3 linked regions of the Macaca fascicularis genome follow. The protein of the gene in region 1 purifies or fractionates together with the protein of each later gene. This does not show direct contact. Links are inferred from orthologs where the notes say so. Each region holds a gene or a part of one and is shown in the gene's direction. Other genes may lie near its edges.

What was found. The genes of interacting proteins can lie anywhere in the genome.
Region 2: the proteins of DDB2 (region 1) and COPS7A purify together in Homo sapiens (affinity purification with mass spectrometry; 5 studies listed by BioGRID and IntAct, counting the BioPlex papers as one, with this or other methods). This does not show direct contact. The link is inferred for Macaca fascicularis from reciprocal best matches to the Homo sapiens genes DDB2 and COPS7A.
Region 3: the proteins of DDB2 (region 1) and COPS5 purify together in Homo sapiens (affinity purification with mass spectrometry; 10 studies listed by BioGRID and IntAct, counting the BioPlex papers as one, with this or other methods). This does not show direct contact. The link is inferred for Macaca fascicularis from reciprocal best matches to the Homo sapiens genes DDB2 and COPS5.

Annotation. Positions count from the first base shown.
Region 1 is NC_088388.1:18,629,304-18,632,964, reverse strand, and holds the start of DDB2 (DNA damage-binding protein 2), read left to right. Parts: upstream 1-741; 5' UTR 742-930; coding exon 931-1,057; exon of another isoform or gene 1,058-1,242; intron 1,243-2,133; coding exon 2,134-2,270; intron 2,271-2,655; coding exon 2,656-2,847; intron 2,848-3,661.
Region 2 is NC_088385.1:7,643,753-7,647,501, forward strand, and holds the start of COPS7A (COP9 signalosome complex subunit 7a), read left to right. Parts: upstream 1-1,460; 5' UTR 1,461-1,567; exon of another isoform or gene 1,568-1,665; intron 1,666-2,030; 5' UTR 2,031-2,073; coding exon 2,074-2,235; intron 2,236-3,749.
Region 3 is NC_088382.1:77,046,874-77,050,622, reverse strand, and holds the start of COPS5 (COP9 signalosome complex subunit 5), read left to right. Parts: upstream 1-1,634; 5' UTR 1,635-1,767; coding exon 1,768-1,910; exon of another isoform or gene 1,911-1,918; intron 1,919-3,749. UniProt on the Homo sapiens protein: Probable protease subunit of the COP9 signalosome complex (CSN), a complex involved in various cellular and developmental processes.

The DNA of each region.
Region 1 (3,661 bases):
AGAAAAAAAAAAAGGCAAGGCGTTCCAATCATTCTCCCTTCACAGAGAAGCAGCTTGGATTCTATGGGGCTGTAGTTTCTGGATTCCGACTGCAAAGCTGACCGCTGGTACAGCGCAGCTTCTAACTTAGGAAAGGCACTAGCTCTCTACAAAGCCGCCACGCCCCAACTACACCCTGTAGCTACCAGCCAATCCCAAAGCCCGAGCGGGAGTCATCACCAGTTGCAAGGCGGGAGCCAGGGCCTTGGCTGGTACCAGGCCTCCTCCCCGGACCCGCAGAGGCCTGGCAGCGCCTCGTCTGAGGAGGGTTCGTGTCGGGAGGCCAAGGCTGGATGATTACTTAAGCCCATGAGTTCAAGACCGGCCTGGACAACATAGCGAGACCCCGTCTCTCCAGAAAAAGAAAAAAAAAGAAAAAGAGAGAGAGAGATAAATTAGCCGGGCGGGGTGGCGCACGCTTGTAGTCCCATCTACTTAGGAGGCTGAGGTGGGAGGATCGCTTGAGCCCAGGAGGTGGAGGCTGCACTGACCTATCATCGCGCCACTGCTCTCCAGCGTGGGCGACAGAGCCAGACCCTGTGGCTGAAAAAAATAAAACATAAAGCCGGGGGCCATCTTTGCTCCGGGCAGGTCAGCTGACCCGGGCTGGCACAGGCCCTGGCGCAGTTCCCGCCCCTCCCGAGAGCGCTGGCACCGCCCCCTCCCCGCGCCCCCTCCTTCCAGGAAGGGGCGGGGTCTCCTAGACGGGTGGGGCCGGAGCTCGGAGCTGGTTTGAACAAGCCCTGGGCATGTTTGGCGGGAAGTTGGCTTAGTCGGCTACCTGTGGCCCCGCAGTTTTGTAGTCCCCGCCTTGTTTCTCCCCAGAGGTCTCTCAATCCTCCCTCCATGATCTTCGCATAGAGCACAGTACCCCTTCGCACGGAGGACGCGATGGCTCCCAAGAAACGCCCAGAAACCCAGAAGACCTCCGAGATTGTATTACGCCCCAGGAACAAGAGGAGCAGGAGTCCCCGGGAGCTGGAGCCCGAGGCCAAGAAGCTCTGTGCGAAGGGCTCCGGTACTGCCTGTGCCTGCTGCTTGAATATTTCCGCCTTTAGGGGTGCTCGCGCAGGAGGCTGCAGCGGGGGATGGGTGCTCCGAGGCTCCCGAGGCCGGCGCAGGTCACGGATGCCTCCGGCTGTGCATTCTACCTGCAGGTTCTTTGACACCAGAGCGTTTAGGCTTCAACACCTCTCCCGCCAGGTGACAGGAAGCAGACAAGCTCCGTAACAACAGACACACGGACTTGTCAGATTCCTTGTTTGTAGCAGGGTTCTTGCACAGTTTGGACGGCTTCAGAGAATCCTACCTTTCCTGGCACTGTGTGTGCTGGATTTCATAGTCACGCTTGTTAGCTGCACGTGCTAGGTGGTCAGTTGTGAGAGCCCCCAATTCCTTCCCTCCTTAGAAAGCTCATTCTCTGAGGTTTACTGGGGCTTGAACCTGGGGCTATAAGGAGTTTCGAGACACTCAAAAACTGGAGCTGGGGCTTGTTAATCAAGTGGGTTTTGTCCATGTGAAGAAAGAATTGGTTGTCAGGACGTCGGACCTATAGTGATTGGGTCCTCAAATGCAAGTTTGGTGATCCGGAGTTGTTGCTTTATTGCTATTCTAATTTCACTCACCTCCCCAGAAGTAACCTAGTTAAGAGCATTTCCAGGCCTTCCTATTCCTTCTTTTCCTAAACGGTGACTTCTGCCATGCTCCCCTAAAATATTTTTATTGTGCATTATATGTGATTTATAAAATTGTGACCCTGTCCCATCTCGTTTTGCAGCCCAAACTGGGAAGAGTTCTGCAGTGTACTTTATTCTTGTGTGTTTCTTTGGCTGGGGTCTCAGGAACCCTGCACGATTATTTACTTTCATTTCAGTCTTACTGTTTGGAGGAGTGTTTTGGGGAAGGGGCCAAATCCCTACTCATTTTTTTTTTTATTTCTGGTGCTGGGTGAGACCGCACAGACACAGAAAGGCCTCAGGAGATGATGAGACAGAGATTAGCCATGCCGAATGAAACAAGGCTTCCTTTCAGGGAATTCAGCAGAAAAACCTTTCGTGAGATTGGAGAGGAAAATATGTCTGTTCTGCTTGGCAGGTCCTAGCAGAAGAGGTGACTCAGACTGCCTCTGGGCGGGGCTGGCTGGCCCACAGATCCTGCCGCCATGCCACAGCATCGTCAGGACCCTCCACCAGCATAAGCTGGGCAGAGCTTCCTGGCCATCTGTCCAGCAGGTAAGGCATTTTTTGCCTCAAGTCCTCAAGGGTTTGCACGTGCATTTTTACTATTGCATGCTCCCAAATTAGATGATGGCTTGGTTCACCAGCTTGTCAGAGTGGTCCGATCACCCAGACTGTGGTGACTGGCCTACTGGGCACTCAGCCATCTAAAAAAAGTCTTATGTTGTAAAGGTCCCAGCTGGAATGCACTCTGCCCCTTTTGCTTTCCCAGATTATTAGTTCATGTACATTGCAAATATTTTCATGCACAGGGCAGGCGGTTAGCTTTCCTTTGGTGGGAGGACTTGGCTCTAGGGCTCATCTATGAAGGAGGCAGAGATTGGCAGTTTACCCAGAACTTGGGTTTTAATTCAACCTAATTCATTTCTCTCTGTGGCAGGGGCTCCAGCAGTCCTTTTTGCACACTCTGGATTCTTACCGGATATTACAAAAGGCTGCCCCCTTTGACAGGAGGGCTACATCCTTGGCGTGGCACCCGACTCACCCCAGCACTGTGGCTGTGGGTTCCAAAGGGGGAGATATCATGCTCTGGAATTTTGGCATCAAGGACAAACCCACCTTCATCAAAGGGGTGAGCAGTTCCCCATGCCAGGTTGTGCTAAAGAAGTGTTTGCTGGCCGGGCACGGTGGTTCACGCCTGTAATCCCAGCACTTTGGGAGGCCGAGGCGGGCGGATCACCTGAGGTCTGGAGTTTGAGACCAGCCTGGGCAACATGCTGAAACCCTGTCTCTACTAAAAATACAAAAATTAGCTGGGCGTGGTAGCAGGTGCCTGTAATCCCAGCTACTCAGGAGGCTGAGGCAGGAGAATCGTTTGAACCTGGGAGGTGAGGTTGCAGTAAGCCAAGATTGCGCCATTACGCTCCAGCCTGGGCAATAAGAGTGAAACTCCATCTCAAAAAAAAAATAGTAAAATAAAATAAAAATAAGGAGTGTTTATTGAAGGAATGAAAGGGATATTGATGTCACCCAGTAATCGTCAGGAAGAGGACTGGGATCAAAAGTAACTGTGGGCATTTTCAAATACGTAAATGGTGATGGTATATATTTTTCTAATGCCTGCCCTTAAAATACTAGAAGATATAGACTATTGATCATCCATAGAATTGAAGCCCCTTCTGGGCTGGGCGCGGTGGCTCACTCCTGTAATCCCAGCACTTTGGGAGGCCAAGGTGGGCTGACCACGAGGTCAAGAGATCTAGACCATCCTGGCCAACACGGTGAAACCCCGTCTCTACTAAAAATACAAAAAATTTGCTGGATGTGGTGGCGCGCGCCTGTAGTCCCACCTACTCGGCAGGCTGAGGCAGGAGAATCGCTTGAACCCGGGAGGCGAAGGTTGCAGTGAGCCGAGATCGCACCACTGCACTCCAGCCTGGGCAACA
Region 2 (3,749 bases), on another chromosome or scaffold:
CACGCCTATAATTCCAGCTACTCGGGAGGCCAAAGCAGGAGAATCATTTGAGCCCAAGAGGCAGAGGTTCAGTGGGCCAAGACTGTGCCATTGTACTCCAGCCTGGGTGGCAAGAGCGAAATCCTGGCTCAAAAAAAAAATAAAAAAGAAAAGATAAGCTTGGGCGGGGAGGGGTGGATGCAAAAAAAAAAATAAGTTTGGACTCATTAATTCCTTGGTTCCTTCAAAGTTTTAATATTTTATTATGCCTTTGATTCCTTCTCACTTTTGTTTCACCTTTTCCATTCATTTCTTCTTCTCCTCTTCCTCCTTTCCCTTTCCTTTCTGTGTTTCTGCTTATTTTCTATTACAAACCAAAATATGTGGACCATAAACTGCATCTGCAGTTCCTTTAGCCCTAACAGACTACGAGTTCTATTTCTCTTTATCTTTCTCTTTTTCACTTTCTTGTCTTTCCATTACTTATAAGTTTCTTAATTTTCCTGAGTCTCAGTTTTTCCATCTGGAAAGTGGAGATAACAATTACTAGATTGTTGTATCAGATGAATTAAGTAATGCTCGTAGCTTAACACAAAGGCCAAGATGTCATTAACTTTACCCTCACTTGACCTTCTGCAAGCCTGCTGTGAAATATAAAACACTATATAAATGTTAGTTGTTTTTGTTTTTATTAAAGTATGTTGAAGTAGAAAGATGGTTTTGAGTTTGAAAAGCTCCAGATAAATCCTTGGATTTTTATGAGTCTCAATTTCCTTTTCTGTAAAATGAGTAACATAGGGGTTTTTCCGCCCCAAGAAACTAAGAGTCCATGTACTGAAAGCATCATTCTACAAGTATTAATACATATATAGTAATCATGGTAGAGGGTGTCCTGAAGTCACACTGGGAATATTTGTGAGGATTCAACGGAATAAAATTTTAAAAGATGTCTGACCAATAGTAAGCACTCAATACATGTTAGCAATTATTATCTTTTACTCTTCTCACTTCTTTTCTCCTGCTCTTCAAAAAAGTGAGTGGTTGAACGACCTAGGTGATCTCTGCTGCTAAACTTCTATTATTGATTATTGTTTACTTCCTCTCTGCCCCTTACTCCCCCATCCCGTTTTTTTCCCGCTTCTTCACTCATTCCATTACAGCTTTTCTCTTGCCTCAGGCACCCAGGGCAGTCCTGATCTCCAGCTCTCCAGCGGCTTAGAACAAACACAGAGTCGGCCGAGACCAGGGGACCCGCCAAAGACGTCTGTGTTTAGTGGCTAGCGATCTTCCACTAATAAAGTTTTATTGAAATACAGTATTTAAAAAGGCGCCCGTCATTCTTCCCCCGGCGACCAATCGGAGAGTAGAATGCTTGCGTCCCTCACTGGAGCTTCAGCGGTTGGAACGCGGGGGCGGGGCATGTCCTGCCGAAATTTGCGTCCTTAGAGCGGAAGTACGGCCGGAAGCCCGCCATAGAGTTTAGTGGCCAGAGCGACTCTTCAGGGAGGTGGCAGGAAAGGCTTGGAACAGCTGCCGGAGGTGACGGAGCGGCGGCCCCGCCCGGTGCGCTGGAGGGCGAAGCTTCCAGGTAGCGGCCCGCAGAGCCTGACCCAGGGTACGACGAAGCAGTCGGCGGGAGCCCACGGTCGCTGGGCGGTGTCTTTAAGGGAGGGGGCGGAGCCACGTGTAAGCTTCATTGGGGTGAGGTCACGTGGTTGTGGGCGCGTGCGGGGCAGGAGTGGAGAACTGAGGGAGCGTCGTCGTTAGTGTGGATACCATGCGACACCCCTTTCTCCGTTGCATCCTGTCTTGGGGTTCAGTGGCGGTGCACATGATGGGGCTTGGGGTTAGGCTCGGGGGAGGGGGTGGGTGTGGCAGCCTTGTGAAGTGGCTGACTTTAGGATTTGTAGATCAGAATTCTAGACCGCTCCATGTGTGATTCCTCACCGCAGAACCGACTTAGTACCTATAACAATCCAGTCCTTCAGCCTTGTGCTTCCCATCCTACCAGCCATCGGGGATCTCTAGCTTCACATTCTCTTTCCTTGCAGCTCTGGACATCCTGAGCCCAGGTGCCCCCAGCTCAGTGCAGTCATGAGTGCGGAAGTGAAGGTGACAGGGCAGAACCAGGAGCAATTTCTGCTCCTAGCCAAGTCGGCCAAGGGGGCAGCGCTGGCCACACTCATCCATCAGGTGCTGGAGGCCCCTGGTGTCTACGTGTTTGGAGAACTGCTGGACATGCCCAATGTTAGAGAGGTGGGTTGCTGGCTTGAATAGTCCACAGAGAAGCATGGGCAAAGGTTTGAATTTGAGAATGGGTGGGCAGGGCTCAATTTGTGATCCCATACCATTCAGTTGAACAAGAAAACAGTGATGATTAAATGCCAACTTGCAAAAGTAACCAGTAAACAAGCAAACCAGCTTTCCTTTGGAGATAAAGGATCTGTAAAGTCCACTGTTTTTCATTTTAAGCAAAAGAGCATGTTATTCAGAATAGGAAATCTGATTTCCAGCCCGTCTCCACCAGCGTAATAGCTGTTAATTCTCATGTCACCTTGATCAGGTCACTTTTGTTTTAGGGCCTGAGCTCTCTTTTTTAAAAATGGAGACAATACTGCCCCCTCTGTTGTGGGAATAAAGTGAGATTATGGGAAAGTGTAAAGTCTGGTACAAGTGGGTAGTGAACATGTTAAATTAGCATGCCCTATTCTTCCCTATGTGCAGCATATGCTAATCTGTTCAAGGTAGCTAAGGGAGAATGTGTCTTTTTCCCAAAGACACATGGCAAACACTAGGAACACAGCAGAGAGAACCATTCACACAAAAGTGGCAGAGTTAATTTACAGAGGAGGCAGCCTGAGTCCTGACATGCTGACAGTGATATGTGGGTAAACTGAGCTAAGTTATGTGGGGCCTGTGGTTTAACCTTTTGGATCACTCTGTGATATGGTGAAAACTGGCTGACTTTTCCCTGCTTTCATCTGCAGTGGAACTAAAGAGTATCCATCAAGGTGATGAAAAAGAAGCACTTGGCCTGGTGCAGTGGCTCACGCCTGTAATCCCAGCACTTTGGAAGGCCAAGGCAGGTGGATCACCTGAGGTCAGGAGGTGAAACCAATATGGCAGAACCCTGTCTCTATTAAAAATACAAACAGGGCTGGGCGCAGTGGCTCACGCCTGTAATCCCAGCACTTTGGGAGGCTGAGGCAGGCGGATCACAAGGTCAGGAGATCGAGACCATCCTGACGGTCTAACACGGTGAAACCCCATCTCTACTAAAAATACAAAAAATTAGCTGAGGCCGGGCGCAGTGGCTCAAGCCTGTAATCCCAGCACTTTGGGAGGCCGAGAGGGGCGGGTCACGAGGTCAGGAGATCGAGACCATCCTGGCTAACACGGTGAAACCCCGTCTCTACTAAAAAATACAAAAAACTAGCCGGGCGAGGTGGCCGGCGCCTGTAGTCCCAGCTACTCGGGAGGCTGAGGCAGGAGAATGGCGTAAACCCGGGAGGCGGAGCTTGCAGTGAGCTGAGATCCGGCCACTGCACTCCAGCCTGGGCGACAGAGCGAGACTCCGTCTCAAAAAAAAAAAAAAAAAAGGCCGGGCGCGGTGGCTCAAACCTGTAATCCCAGCACTTTGGGAGGCCAAGACGGGCGGATCACGAGTTCAGGAGATCGAGACCATCCTAGCTAACACGGTGACACCCCGTCTCTACTAAAAATACAAAAAACTAGCCGGGCGAGGTGGCGGGCGCCTGTAGTCCCAGCTA
Region 3 (3,749 bases), on another chromosome or scaffold:
GAAGGAATGGTCATTGGAGTGTCAAGAAAGAGTTCGTGGTCGATCTCACTGGACTGTATTTTTAAAGATTAATATGAGTTCCCAGGCAGAAAATGTAGGAAAGAGCATTTCAAGCAATGCTGACCACATATGCAAAGCCAAAGGAAATATATTTGCATTGCTAGAACGAAAAGTTTCAGGGGGGACTAAAGAGAGATGAAGCTGGAAGAGGTGCGTAGGGGCCAGGTTGTTAACAGCTGTGGTGCTATCTTTTCTTTTTTCTTTTTCTTTTCTTTTCTTTTTTTTTTTTTTTTTTTCTTTTTTGAGACTGGCTCTGTCTCACAGGCTGGAGTGGCGCGATCTAGGATCACTGCAACTTCCGCCTCCTGGGTTCAAACGATTCTCCTGCCTCAGCCTCCTGAGTAGCTGGGTCTACAGGCGCACACCATCACGACTGGCTAATTTTTTTGTATTTTTTTAGAGACTTCACCATGTTGGCCAGGCTGGTCTCGAACTCTCGATCTCAAGTGATCCGCCCGCCTCGGCTGCCCAAAGTGCTGGGATTACAGGCGTGAGCCACTGCGCCTGGCCTGTGATGCTATCTTTTCAGGAAAGGAAAAAAAAAAAAAAATCTTGAACACCTATGCTAGGTGCTAGGAGATAAAACAAGGAACGCAGACCTGCTCCCTGTGTCTTGAAACTTAAAATCTTGCATGGATGGAGAAATGAGATGGAGAAAAAAGAAAACCTAAAACACGTAAACTAATTTAAAAAATAATTGAACATTGTATTAACTGTAGGAAGAAAACAAACCAGTTGCCGAGATTAATTACGCTTTGGGAACAAATGCGGTTCACAGGAGTACCAAAGATTTAACTGTAACCTATTATAAGAACTGAGTACTGGACATTTTCAGAACAGTAATGGCACATAATTCACAGCAGTGCCAAAGATTTAACTGTAACCTATTATAAGAACGGAGTACTGGACATTTTCAGATCAGTAATGGCACATTATGCATATGTAGATGTTAATTTTTACCGACACCCAAAAAGACATGACAATAGCAATCAAGGAGTACCCACTGCCTCCTGGCATCGATAGAAAAAGCCCATCTGCAAGTTAAGTGCCAAGCCACCACGAGCCCGTTAGCTTTTACGCATGTGCAGTGAGTCATCTTGAAGTAAACTGGAATGCCATGTTTATCTTCCTCTCAACCAGCTTCCAGAACGACTTTTAGCTCAGTTGTACAACAGACGGCCTTACCCTTTAGTCTTTCAACAAACATCTCATTTAAGGTACCTAGACCCACACAAAAACACTTTCTGCCCTCCACATCCCACCGTTAAGGCTCCAACTACCTTTAATATGGCGGAGACCGAGCCTGCGCAGTACAAGCAGAGAAGGCAAATAACAGTTTCTGGAATAACGTTACATGCCCTTCTTCCGGTATGGAAGACTATACCATTCCCATACCCTATAATTCTGTTTGTTCTATTTCACACATACAATTTTCCGAGACAAGATGTTCTAATTTAAGTCACAAGAAGATTCGTCTCTCCCTATTCCTGTAACTGCTGCTTATATCGTCACGTCCCGGAAAGGTCCCTGTCTTCCCTGAATGGTCTCTACCAAGTTCACCTCCGGTTCTAGGTGTCATGGCTGCCCCGAGAGTCTAGGTAAGAGTTTGTTCCCGTGGTGCGGAGGGTCAAGGCCCACACCCGGAGACCTAGCGAGGTAAAGTTGCGTCTTGGTTGTAGAGACGACAACTTCTCCGCTTTCTCTGCAATGGCGGCGTCCGGGAGCGGTATGGCTCAGAAAACCTGGGAATTGGCCAACAATATGCAGGAAGCTCAGAGTATCGATGAAATCTACAAATACGACAAGAAACAGCAGCAAGAAATCCTGGCGGCGAAGCCCTGGACTAAGGAGTGAGGAGGTCCCTGGCGAGACGCAGGGGAGGGAAGGGTTGGCGGGAGTTTAAGAGACCCAGAGGGAGAGGGAGGTGAAAGGGGTGAAGAGCTTTCACCGACGGGGAGGGGAACAGAATATGCGCCTTGGATCTGCAAGTAGAGCCTAAGCCCTCCGCTGGGGCTTTGACTCCCCTTTCTGTCGCTTTAATCCATTTACCCCCGGATGATGTAAGGGGAGAACAACAAGCGGTGATTTAAGTTGTCACTTCTGAACATCCGTATTGTCATATATGCCGCACACCCTGCCTTGAACCCAGTGGCGACATGCACCTTATTTGGGTCTTCAGCTATTCCCTTACTGGGGACCGCAGTTGTTTTCAGAAATCGAGTCAGCAGCTCAAGGTCTCAAAAATAGCTATGAGCTATTTTCTTTTATTTTCTTTTTTAACTAGAGGTGGGTCCTCGCTATGTCGCTCAGGCTGATCCCGAGCTCCTGCCTTCAAGCGATCCTCCCACCTTGGCCTTCCAAAATGCTGGAATTACAGGCGTGAGGCCTGGGTCTATAATAGTTTTTTGATTGCTGATAATTATTTCGGAGGCACACGGAGGCTCTACCTGGTCTCTACAATGTTACTCCATCAGTTCCCATAAGCCAGAAATTTTAAAAATAGAGCTTAAGACTTTTTGCCCTTCAACAATACCCATTTTTCCCTGGGAGTGGTGACAAGTCGAGGGATCTTTACCCATAATATTTATGTTTTCCTGAGAGCATCTCCTGAGAGATTTCCTGCTCTCAGGAAAAGATAATTATTACGGGCTATGTTTGAGAGAGAGTAAAAGGAGCACAAAAGCTAATGGTTAGATAGAAATGAGAGCTGCAGTCAACAAGAGGACATACTTCTACTGCCTCACAGTTTTTTTTACAAAGCTAGCCTTGTCTCAGTATTCAGATTCCACAATGGTGAATTGCGGAAGCATCTAGCTAGAGATTTCCACGTCATTTAATCTTTATGACAACCCAGTACAGTATATCCATCCTTTTTTTACAAATTAAAAAACAAGCAAATACATTATGTAATTTATGATCACACTGAGATAAGTGAACTCTTAGCTGAGCAATAGTCAGACCTAAGATCAAACTTCACAGCTGTCACTAACTAGTTGACTGACCTTAGGAAATTTACTTATCCATCTTCATTTGTCATAGTATGGAAATAAGACCTACCTATTGGTATTGTCATAGAGATTAGGTGAGATAATGTATAAAAAGAGTCGTCTAGAATATATGTAATAGGAGCACAGTAACTTGTCTTTCTTCTTTTCTCCAGTAAAGGGAGAAGCCAAGATTTCGATTCATGTCTTGATTTCCAACATGAGGTCTACACATTTTTCAGCTTTTGGTTGAAATCTGGCAAAGCTTAGGAATTAAATTTGGATTCTTTCTGTGGGCAGACATCTAAAAAGGCTTTGTAGAGACGTTGACTGACTGCTCTGTAAGGCTGCTTAAGTTGCTTGGTTGTCTGCTTGTTTCTGTAGCAGGTTGTGCATTTTAGGTTTGTGTACTCTTAAATATTTGGAAACTGTCGGCCTGCTTCACTGTCTAATTGTGGCTCTAATTATATTCATCCTAGCTGTCTTGGGCTGCACTAATGAGACCAAAATGTAATTTTATTCAAGAGTTTAATTCACTGATGACCAACTCTGAAATAATGATCATAGAAGACTAGGATATTATGGCTACTTTTTAATTTGAGGCTGATATAACAGGGAAGCCCACCCTTCAACACTCTGTTCTTTGAGAGTAGGGTTAAGAGACAGGTTAATAATGCTGATAACAGCTAGCACTTATTAGGGTTC